Linked DNA regions of Nothobranchius furzeri. The protein of the gene in region 1 interacts with the protein of each later gene in a pairwise test. Links are inferred from orthologs where the notes say so. Each region holds a gene or a part of one and is shown on either strand. Other genes may lie near its edges.

Region 1 (5,659 bases):
TTATGGTGTGAGTGTTCAGTTAAACAATGTTGATTTTATATTTCATCATCAGGTTGACGCAGTGATAGCTTGCTCCTGTTGTATTGTTGTGTGTTGTTGTTCTCTTTCTGCAGGTCTAGAAGCAGACTCTTGTTCATCATTGATTGTTTATTTTTGTGGAACCTCCCCCTCCTATTTTATCACTGCTATTGTTTTTCAGATGTTTTTATTGGTTAGAGGTATTTGCCCTGATCTTTATCATGTTGTACAGCGCTTTGTGATTTATATCTGTGAAAGGCGCTATATAAATAAACTTTTACTTACTTACTTACTTACCTTTGTCTCTTCCTTTCTCTTTCACCTCTGTCTCCGTGTCTGGTCGGAATTAAAAAGCATTCAAAAACAACAACAATAAAGTTTTAAGTATCAGGCATGACATTAAAGCAGACACTTTGATGCTCCACCTGAGAGTAAATCCATAAGGCTTGTCACCAGCATTCAGACATAAATTCTGTTTGCTTGACAGCCAGAAAGGACACGGGGGAAAAAAAACGTAGACAAGGCTTGCCTCATCAGTGTGCCACCCATGACAGCGGTGGTGTGATGACACCCATGACTAGGAGAAAGCGATAATGAAAAATGTCCTGACTTATCGGGGCTGCAACTTCCAAGGTCCTGCAGGTGATGAGACTTTACTCTTTTAATAAAACTTTTCTTATTTTGTTTCATAAAACGCTTTCCCAACTTTACAAGTTATTTACAAAAATATTCTGTTCATCTAAAGTGTTTTAATAATGCCTGACTGGTTTACAGTGATGACTGACTCAACATAATTGTTTATTCTGGAAATAATGCTTTATTTCAGATACTAAATACACCCAATGAGTCTTATTTGTTGAATTTAATAACGACTTATTATCAGTATTCACATATTAATATTACTCTATATTGATAAATGAATGTTTAACAGAGTTACATCACTTTAGGTGGAATGAGCATCTTCTAAGTGTTTGAGGAAGGAGAGGTGTCTGAGAGATTCTGATAACGCCCACTATTACACGTTCTAGATTCTGGTTTGTCTAAATTGGTAAACAACCAATTTTATAAAAAAAGGCATCACTTCCTCAATGCTTTAGTTCTAGCCCACGGGCTGGTTAAGCCAACTGGGTCAGTAGCATAAGGAACCATCCTTTTCTCCAGCAGAGAGACAACTCATCAGATGTGAAACATCTCGCCAGCAGACCTGGGATGCATCTCACTGGCCAGTCGTGCAAATTCAAAGGAAGCTATGACCTTTGAGATTCCAGAAGTCAACTCATCTTGGCACTTGGCCCGACTCGACTTCCTTGCCAGCTGGACCTAACGAGAATTTCCATTACAAGGGAAATCGTTGTCTCACACCTGGCAGTAGGATGTATTTTTTATTATTAATTTGACAACTTGTTAAACTTCATTAAACATTCGTTCAGACTTATTTTACAACCCAGGCATCACAGTTTTCTAAGACACTTAATTGTTTTTTTTAACACACCATCTAAACTCATATTTCATCATTGGTCATTCTGTGTCTCAGTTGATATCACCTCAACTCATGAAGTAGTAGAAGTACAATATTAAATACATTTTTATAAACTATATTTTCACCTCTGAGTCAAATTATTATAAAGTGTTGTTTCCCTGGCTTAGCTAAATTACCTAATTTCATCATCAATTGAATATTAATGGCTCAATAATATTGATAATCCACATTTTTATTGAATGTTACATTTGATTGAATATTGACAATTTTTTTAAAAGTAACCACTTACACAACATTATATCATCTTTCAGACAAAACATATAAAGCCGTGGACAAATTATGCTATTTGCAAGACCGAAAAAACTGAAATTATACAAATAAATAACATAAAATAATACATTTTAAGCAAAAGAACAGCTTTTCTAAGTAAATTACTACCCACCTCTGCATTCAACTGCCCTCCATGTTTGGGAGATGGCAACTTCATATAGCCCATAAACGAACATTCTGTAGGGTCACTTACACAACTGTTTTACTTGCCTTTATGAAAATGCTGCAAGCAAACACGCATGAGAGGAGATGCGGTTTCGAAAGTTATGTCCTTCCATCCAAGAGCTGGAATTCAGGCGTCTCTTTGTTATTCTCCTATTTTGTGTCCAGAACCTCTTTTCCAAGCAGGAAAGCAAAAGAGTCTTGTGTCGTTTCTTGTAATTGTGTGACCTGGCGTGGCAGCCCTTCACACAAGTGTACCATTTTCTGCAGGTTTATAAGCTCGCAACACATAAAGCAACCAACGCTTCTGTTGTTTATCTACTTAGCTATCCCATCATGCAACAGCACCTGATATGTCATCTGTCAAAGACAGATGGCTCATTCTGGAGGCTACTGAAACTGTCAAGAATAAAACTGATGAAATGCGAGAGGCATTTTGTCTAAATAAATTCATAAACATGTTGGGTATTGGAAATATAACTATTTTAAATTTTAAGTCATAATATGTCCCCTTTAAAGGACAAACCAAAGAGGATAGTTCACATTTAGATATCTGAAACGGTGAAGCGTCAGTGCTCAACTTTATAGACGATCTTTGGACGGCAAGCCGAGAGTTGCGTTGTGTGCGCATGCGCACAAGGGGATTAATGTCAAGGCACAAAAGTGGCGCTACAACGCTTCGAGCTCTACTCCGGTAAGCGAATTTCACAGTCGGTTTTTATCCTCCACGTTCACGCTTAATTGGTCAAAGTTTGGGAAACTTGAGCGGGACACAGGCCCGGATTCCCGGTCCGCCCCTCCGCAGCCACAGCCGGCAGAGGAGCGACACTAAGGAATCATTAAAGAGTTGATTTTAACAGCTTTCGTCTCCTGCTCCGCTCGCTGTGGCCGTTGCCGCCTCCAGTCTCCAGTATTGTTCCGTTGGTTCCCTAATGGCGGACGGCAGGCAGTGCTGTTTTCCGCTGGGGGAGGTGGGAGGTGTGTGGAGAGGGTGGGAGGGAGGGGGCAGATTTTATCTCCCGTTGACTAATGAGGTACACCTGGTTTACCGAGACAGACACAAACACCGGGGCAGGTACGACGCCGGGATTAATTGGGCTATCGCTGTTTACCAGCTCAGGGCACAAATTAAGGCATTTCATGTAAGGGAAGGGCGCCCCTAGCGGTGGTCGGGTATTTTTGCCACTGATTGCGCCAGGAGTGGACTACGTGCCGGGTAACTTTCCAATTAAAACCCCAGCTTCACAGGTATCAAATATTCTGGTGCACTGGGTCATATTCAGGGTCTGTTTTAATTGGGCTTGCTTGTTTGCAACTAGACCCAGGAGGAGCAAACGTTATGGGCTGTAGAGTCTGAAACGCAGCCATAGGTAGGGAGTTGAGTTGAGAGTCACATTGTGTCATGTGTAGCATTTACCTCTAACATAATCGGTTTGAAGAAGTGCTGATCGTTTTGGGAGGCGTTTTAACAATGGCGCAGTCTGTGTCGGCTCTCCTCCCCTCGATCCGCCGCTAATCCAATGACTGTTTGCGCCAGGAAGAGCAGGGGTGGGAGCGGAACACCCTGAACCACGTTTCTCCTGGACCCCAACTTGGAAGCTAGCATTTCCTCCTCCCAGGGCTATTTATGGCAGAGTTTCCCTGCTCAGGTAGTTGTTTTTCTTGCCATTGGTCAAAGTTTTGTGCTCGCGCTCATCTCTGGATTCAAGGTGTGTTAAGGGGGGAGAGAGGAGAGATTATTTCTTGTGTCTGGAGCGGATTCTGTGGTCTATCTGAACAGTGGTAGCAATCAAGGACACGGCCCGGCTGTCCTCTGAACGCATCACGGTGCCTTCGAGGTTTGGAGGATTTTTGGGGACAGCTCATCAACTGAGCAGAGCAGGGTTTAGTTTTACCATTCTGCTGCCAGGTAACCAGAGCAGGTTTTCCTCCAGCCCATCAGTGGGTTTTGGGAGGATGTTCTGGTGGCTGCGCACCATATTCTCAGTGACATAATACTTATATAATAATCTCACGCTTTTAATTTGAATTCGGTGTCTGATCTCCACCACCGACGCTACAGCTGCAGACCTCCGCCATGTGACCTGCCGGAGGAAACGTCAGCTGAGCTGAAGGTATAGCCTGGTGGTGGTGGGAAGGTGGTGGAGCACCTACATCCGAGGTGATGTGGCGCAGGCGCTGATGAGGAGTTTGATGCAGGGAGGCGGTCCCTCCGTCCACAGCGCCAGCCTACCTTTGCGTCCACCTGGTGTTGACGTTGGGGGCAAGGTTGCATGTCAGAGCTCATTACTGCTGGATGCTCGTTTCCTCTCATCTGCTCGAATGCAGGCTGTCTCACATCTCTGCAATGCAGTCTGTTTATTCCCCTCATAGCACGCTGCTTTACTCCTCTGTTGATGTGCAAGCAGGCCAGCACGCTGTGATGCATCATGTTTTTGCAGCAAATGTTGCAACTGACCGTATTATACCACCAGTTGCCATGGCAGTTGCACACAGATGTGTTTCACCTTCACAGGTGTGGTCTGACACTGCAGTCATTGGAGAATGAGGTGGACTTCCAGCCCAGAAACGACGTCCTGGTTTAGTGTTTTTGCTGCTGCTTCCTGTCACATGACCAGAGTCGTCTTCATTCAGCATCAGTGTTTTTAAAGCTGATTCTGATCAAGAACAGTCACAATCTTTTCTGTGGGCTTAAAACTCTATATTCTTTTGTCCCTTTGTTCCACTTATTGGTTTCTCACAGAACATGTGAGCATACATTCTCATTTCTAGATTTTAATGGCAGTATACAAAGTCGTTTCCTGGTTTAAACATGTTTAAAAAACAGTTTTGACAGATTTGCTCTTCCTAATGTTGTGGAGGTCATGTTTGACCCATCTTGCACTTTTTAAATTCAGTAAGTTTGAGTCAAAGTGGGAGAAATGGGAGACAACGCTGGCAGTGGTTGGTGACCAAGATGTTAATGAAAAAGAGAGTAACCAGCTGAATCTCAGATATTTTGAACAATCTGTTGCTAACTGGCAAAAAAGTTTTGCATCCCATTTTCTATTTCTTTTGTGAATGAGCAATTCCCTCTCACAGCCATATTTATCTCATAAGCAGCAGTGGCAATTATAATTACCCTGGATTTACAGAATACCAAATAACAGTTTTTCTTAATTTATGGTTATTTTTGTTAAAACAATTTGTGTGTTTGTGAAGATTTTCCTAATATTTGTCTAACATGGACACACTGTGAAATGAAAGATTAATTCCAAGGACATACAGATATTAGGGGGCAGCAGTAGCTCAGGTGGTAGAGCGGGTTGCCTCATGATCGGTCATGGGTTCGATTCCAGCTCCCGCCAGGGGTATCCTGCTGTTGTGTCCTTGGGCAAGACACTCCACCCAACTTGCCTGTGTTAGTGGTGGTCAGAGGGGCCGACGGCGCCAAATGGCAGCCTCGCCCCTGTCAGACCTCCCCAGGGCGGCTGTGGCTACAAGTAGCTTACCATCACTAGCAGTGTGTGAATGTGAGAGTGTGTGAAAGCGTCTTTGGGTGTCTAGAAAAGCGCTATATAAGTTCAATGCATTATTATTATTATTGTTATTATTATTATACATAATAGTTTAAATTGTGTGGCAGTAAATGGACAGATATGAGCTTCAGACCTGCATCCTTGGATGTTT
Region 2 (4,875 bases), on another chromosome or scaffold:
CAAAGACTCCTGGCATGTTCAGATGGAAAAAGTGTGTTTTCTTAATCCCGCTGTAATATTTAGCGTTTTTTCTTTGGGTCAAGTAGAAGCTGCAGGTGTGTAAATGATAAGTGCGCATCCGGAGCCGGTGTAGAAAACAGAAGGATTTAATCTGGGATTATTGTTGTTTTAAGTAGAAATAATTAAAAAAAGTTTTAAATTTATTTAATAATCCGAGTATAAAATGATTTAGCTCCATGTCTGCAGCACGGTACGGGCTGTGACTTCTGACATGCTACAGTTTAGTGTGTGTGTGTGTGTGTGTGTGTGTGTGTGTGTGTGTGTGTGTGTGTGTGTGTGTGTGTGTGTGTGTTCGGCCAGCAGGCCTGTGCTGGTACAGGATTTTGCCTGCAGTCACGCTGCAGCTGTGTGAGAACGTTCCAGGTTTGGATGTTTATGTACGCGAAGGCACCTGGAGAGCACCACACCTTCATGAAATTCATAAACGTCAGCTATTTCTGGCATCCTCACAATGTCCTCTTTTTCACACCCTCACATCAGGAGAGCAAATTAGAGCTGAGCTTAGTGGATCCCTCCAGTTATTAGCCCGCTCCGAGTCCCGTTTCAGACTATTTTTAGATGGTGATGTATTCCTGTGGATCGTCTGGAGTCAGGATGTTATCCAGGAGATACGGCGGGGCATCATACGGGAGTGCTCTAAATGGCGACAGGCGGTCCTGTGTTAGCGTTAAATTAGTGCGATACGGCGGCCGAGTAATATTTTTCAGTTACGGTGCTCCTCCCGCCCCTCCACTCAACAGGAGCCTGTTTTAGTCAGATTTTCACTCCTCCTGCCCAGGATTAAATGTAGTAGTTACACTGATCAATAGGTGAAGAAGCACACAATCCCTCTTGCAGCTAATGACCTCAGTAGTAATGGGTAATAAAAGGAGGGTCTGTAATAGGCTCTTGCTGTAGTTACAGAGCGCCAGATGCTCCTGACTGGACACCGTGTAAAACCCTGATGGGATGCATCGTCTAGTGAAAAAGTCTAACCTATTGATCCTCTGTTAGGATCTAAACCAGCGTGTTAAATAAAAGTTTGCTCTCCTGCGCTGTGTGGTAAAAACAGAGATCGTAAGCTGCAAAGTGAGACGAATGCAGAGCATTTACAGGGCAGCAGAAAATAGACGCCGTGGATTCAAACGTGCACTAAAGGACTCCCACAGGTATTATTTATCTTCTCTGTGCACGGTATGTTTAGATGTGGACTATATGCGCCAGCACAAGGACGACCTTCAGAATAGTTCATCAAAATTAGTGATTCCTGTCAAATAAAATCATTTTTAAGAGCCTTTAGAGATGGGGACGGGAGGCCGGGGCTTTGCAAACGACAGGACGCGTCAGTGCAAAAGCAAAGATGAGCCGCGTATTAACACAAGAGGTAATTAGTATTGCGTTCTGCTCCCCGCGCCCCTTCCCCTTGGTGCTGGAAATGAGAAACGTGGAGCCGGTCCTGAGTCCTGAGCCTCCTTCGTTCTCCTGTGGTTGAAAGTGAAGTTAAAGGAGAGCATCAAAGCTGCTCCGTCCTGCTCGGTAGTCCTGCCCGTTCACTACGAGCTGCTCGTTACAGCCGAGCTTTGATTTTGTTTAATGCTGCAGCGGAAAAATGACTAAGGTTATGTGCATGAAGGGTGTGTGTGTGTGTGTGTGTGTGTGTGTGTGTGTGTGTGTGTGTGTGTGTGTGTGTGTGTGTGTGTGCGGGTGTGTGTCTGTGTGTGTGTGTGTGTGTGGGGGGGGGTGTCTTAAACCGCTAAATTACATTCAGAAATGCATGAAAAACTCAAATGCTGTCATTAGCTCTGAAATGGTCGTATAGTTGTTGAAGATGAGCTGTCACGTTATGTCTCCTCTATCAGCGTGTGACAGCCCACACACACACACACTTTATACTCATTTATGTCCTCTCTGATGTGTGTTTTTGTTACTGCACAGATTCATTGACACAACAAGTAACCAGCAGCGTCTAAAAGTTGCAGTTTGTCACACAAACGCCGAGGAAAGCAGCTTTTAGTGGCAGCATCCAGACGCAGCGACTCCCGCGCGTCGCCGGAGCAATTAAAGCACACTGACAACTACGGGCCCCTCTCAGTGTCACCACAAATCAGTCGTTCGGAGGAGCCGTGCACTCACACCTTTCTGCGAGAGTTAGTTAGAGGCCTGTGTGTTCTTCAGCCTGACTCCTCCTCCTCGGGCTCTCTCTAGATCCTCACAACAGCAGATCGCTGCTGACAGCATCTCTAATGAGATGTTCTTACAGGACCTACGTGTAGCCATGTCCTCAGGTTTGACACGTTCCATACCAACAACAGGATGGGAGGGACGTTAGCAGCGAGTCTGGAGGTTTAGGTGTTTCCGGTTCATCCACTGGTCTGGGTCTCGTAGAGGGGATCCAGTCGCCTCAGCCGGAGTCTCACTGGGAGACTCTCAAGAGCGTTTCCAAAATGTTTAGCAGGAGTTTTCCTCTCCTCGCGTCTGTGCGAGCGGTCGTTGCAGGCGTCTGGTTCCTGATGCGTCGGATCATTCTGAGAGACTAAATAGTGAGAAGAACAATTTCACAACATTCATGTAAAATCTGCTCTAATGGCGGAAATTGTTTCTAGTTCAGTCTGATTTGCATATTTTCTCTCAGTTCTGTGTCTCTCTGTGTGTTTACTGTTTAGTTAATAGAATTAGAGATTATATTGTTTACTCCTGATGAATTTAATTTACTAAACTTATTTTTTACAACGTTTAAGCTTTCAGAAAACTAAAGTTTTGTTTCTGTTAATAAATCTTGACGGTGTCTGCCTAACGCTGCGAAACCTGTGTTTGGACCAGGTTCCAGTGTCAGTGGCTATGATGACACCGCAGGTGATAACTCCACAGCAAATGCAGCAGATCCTCCAGCAGCAGGTCCTGAGCCCTCAGCAGCTCCAGGTTCTCCTCCAGCAGCAGCAGGCCCTCATGTTACAGCAGGTAACGTGCAGCAGTCGCGCCGTCAGCGCGCTTACGCTTTTTCCAGAGGTGAATATCACGTTTCAAACGCTCTGCAAATCCTCCGGGATGAAAGTACTTTGAACTGCCGTTCTGAGGTTTCTAAGCCTCGGAGAAGTTCCCACACACATGGCTGCCGAGGATCTGCCACTGTCAAACTCCCAACTCATTTGTCACCTTCTTGTCTCTTCTGCAGCAGCAACTTCAAGAGTTCTACAAGAAGCAGCAGGAAACGCTCCACCTCCAGCTCCTCCAGCAGCAGCAGCAGCATGCAGGCAGCAAGCAGAGTAAAGAGGTAGGCTGACATCACTCCCACCGCCAACGTCGGCCAGACTCGGCGCGCTCCCTCCCTCAGCTCCATCTGCTTTCAGGCTGTGGTTAAAGCACGGGCTGGGGTGGGGTGGGATGGTGAGGGGGTGATCAAGTGCACTCGTGTTTCTGATTAGCATGTCAGACCTGCTGGCTAAATGTTAGCTACTGACTGATACCACTCTATAAAGAAGACCGTAATGTTTCTGCCATGTTTACCGCGTGATGTGTTTTTGGTAATGAAGAGCAGAACGTCGGAGAGGAGGCGGCAAAGACACCGGCGCACGAGTCTGAGAGGCTTTTCTTGGTGATTAACATGGAAGTAGCAGAGGAAACCGAGGCGTGTAATTGTGAGATATCAGCGCAGAGAGCACTCCCAGCTTTGTTGCCCGCCTCTCTTTCCGTCTTGATTTTTCCTGCTCGGCTCCCCGCAGCACAGCGGGGCTCGCTCATAGGCGGCGGCTTAATGCGTGTTAATGACGGGCGGATACAGGCGTCGCTGCGGACAAAGCAAATCGCTACTGCACGGCCAGGACAAGTTCAAAGACTCGCTGTGGATTTTTTTTTGCTCCCGTCCCCGTTGAGTTCCATGTTTGGAGAGTAAAGAAGGGCACGGGGAAATTAAGCTGAACGTTAAAAGCAGGCGCACGCGCCCCTCCGCTCACGCACACGGTCCAAACGCACAACTTCAAAGTTAGAGCTCCCTAATTAATGAAGCGCGGGCTTCAGCTTGGACAAGTTGTGGCGTGATGCTCCCATAAATCAACGTGACAGCAGAGCTCCTCTGCCTCAGATAGGGCCTGTCACCGAGTCGCATCTGATGCAGACGGGGTGGGGGCGGGGGGGCATTGATCAGTTGCATGAGAATAAAAGAGGCAGAAAAGGTACTTTTTAAGCACATTATGTATGATCACAGGAAGTAGATGCAGCCTCAAGAGGCTCTCCCCTTCTGCTGCAGTTCTCTCTCTCTCTCTCTCTCCCCGTCGCGCGCTCTCCTTTTCACTTTCCAGCAGCCATCAAAAGACAGAATAAGAATGATGCAGCGACTCCCCTGTGGCTGCCAGACAATAACCCCCTGTTGTTGCTTTGTGCCTCTTTTATTTTAAAGACATCAAAATTTAGTTTTTCAAAGATCTTTAACTTTATATGTGAAGCTCGACAATAAAGGCCTGCCACTGCCACTCTCATCATCTGTCAGGAGCTGTATTTTTCTCTCCCTTGTGCCACTTCTTGTTAACCTCTTATTTGGTCTATTGGGTCTGGGGGGGGGGGGGTTAATGCGTGTGCATGCTGGGAGCGCACAGGAGCCGCTGTCAGCTGACGGAACGACGAGGGGGAAAGCCGCGAAGGGGAGAGGGTTAAATTCATGTAGCAGTGCCGGGGTTTCTTTCTTCTTTACTTTTCTTTTTTTTCTGAAAAGCCACCCTCTATTTATTTAGCGTTTTGATGAAAGACATTGTTCCTTGTGATCTCCCGCCCCCGTAGCACCATTATCTTTATCTGAGGCTGTCAGGGAGGAGCTGGGGAACAAAGAACTACTAAAGACACGAG

The links.
Region 2: the proteins of zmym2 (region 1) and foxp1b come close enough for resonance energy transfer, tested with the Homo sapiens proteins (2 studies listed by BioGRID). The link is inferred for Nothobranchius furzeri from reciprocal best matches to the Homo sapiens genes ZMYM2 and FOXP1.

Annotation. Positions count from the first base shown.
Region 1 is NC_091754.1:33,051,517-33,057,175, forward strand, and holds the start of zmym2 (zinc finger MYM-type protein 2), read left to right. Parts: upstream 1-2,247; 5' UTR 2,248-2,684; intron 2,685-3,012; exon of another isoform or gene 3,013-3,238; intron 3,239-3,248; exon of another isoform or gene 3,249-3,639; intron 3,640-5,659. UniProt on the Homo sapiens protein: Involved in the negative regulation of transcription.
Region 2 is NC_091743.1:44,404,142-44,409,016, forward strand, and holds part of foxp1b (forkhead box protein P1-B), read left to right. Parts: exon of another isoform or gene 1-22; coding exon of another isoform or gene 23-31; intron 32-2,859; coding exon 2,860-3,045; intron 3,046-3,211; coding exon 3,212-3,310; intron 3,311-4,875. UniProt on the Homo sapiens protein: Transcriptional repressor. Can act with CTBP1 to synergistically repress transcription but CTPBP1 is not essential. Plays an important role in the specification and differentiation of lung epithelium.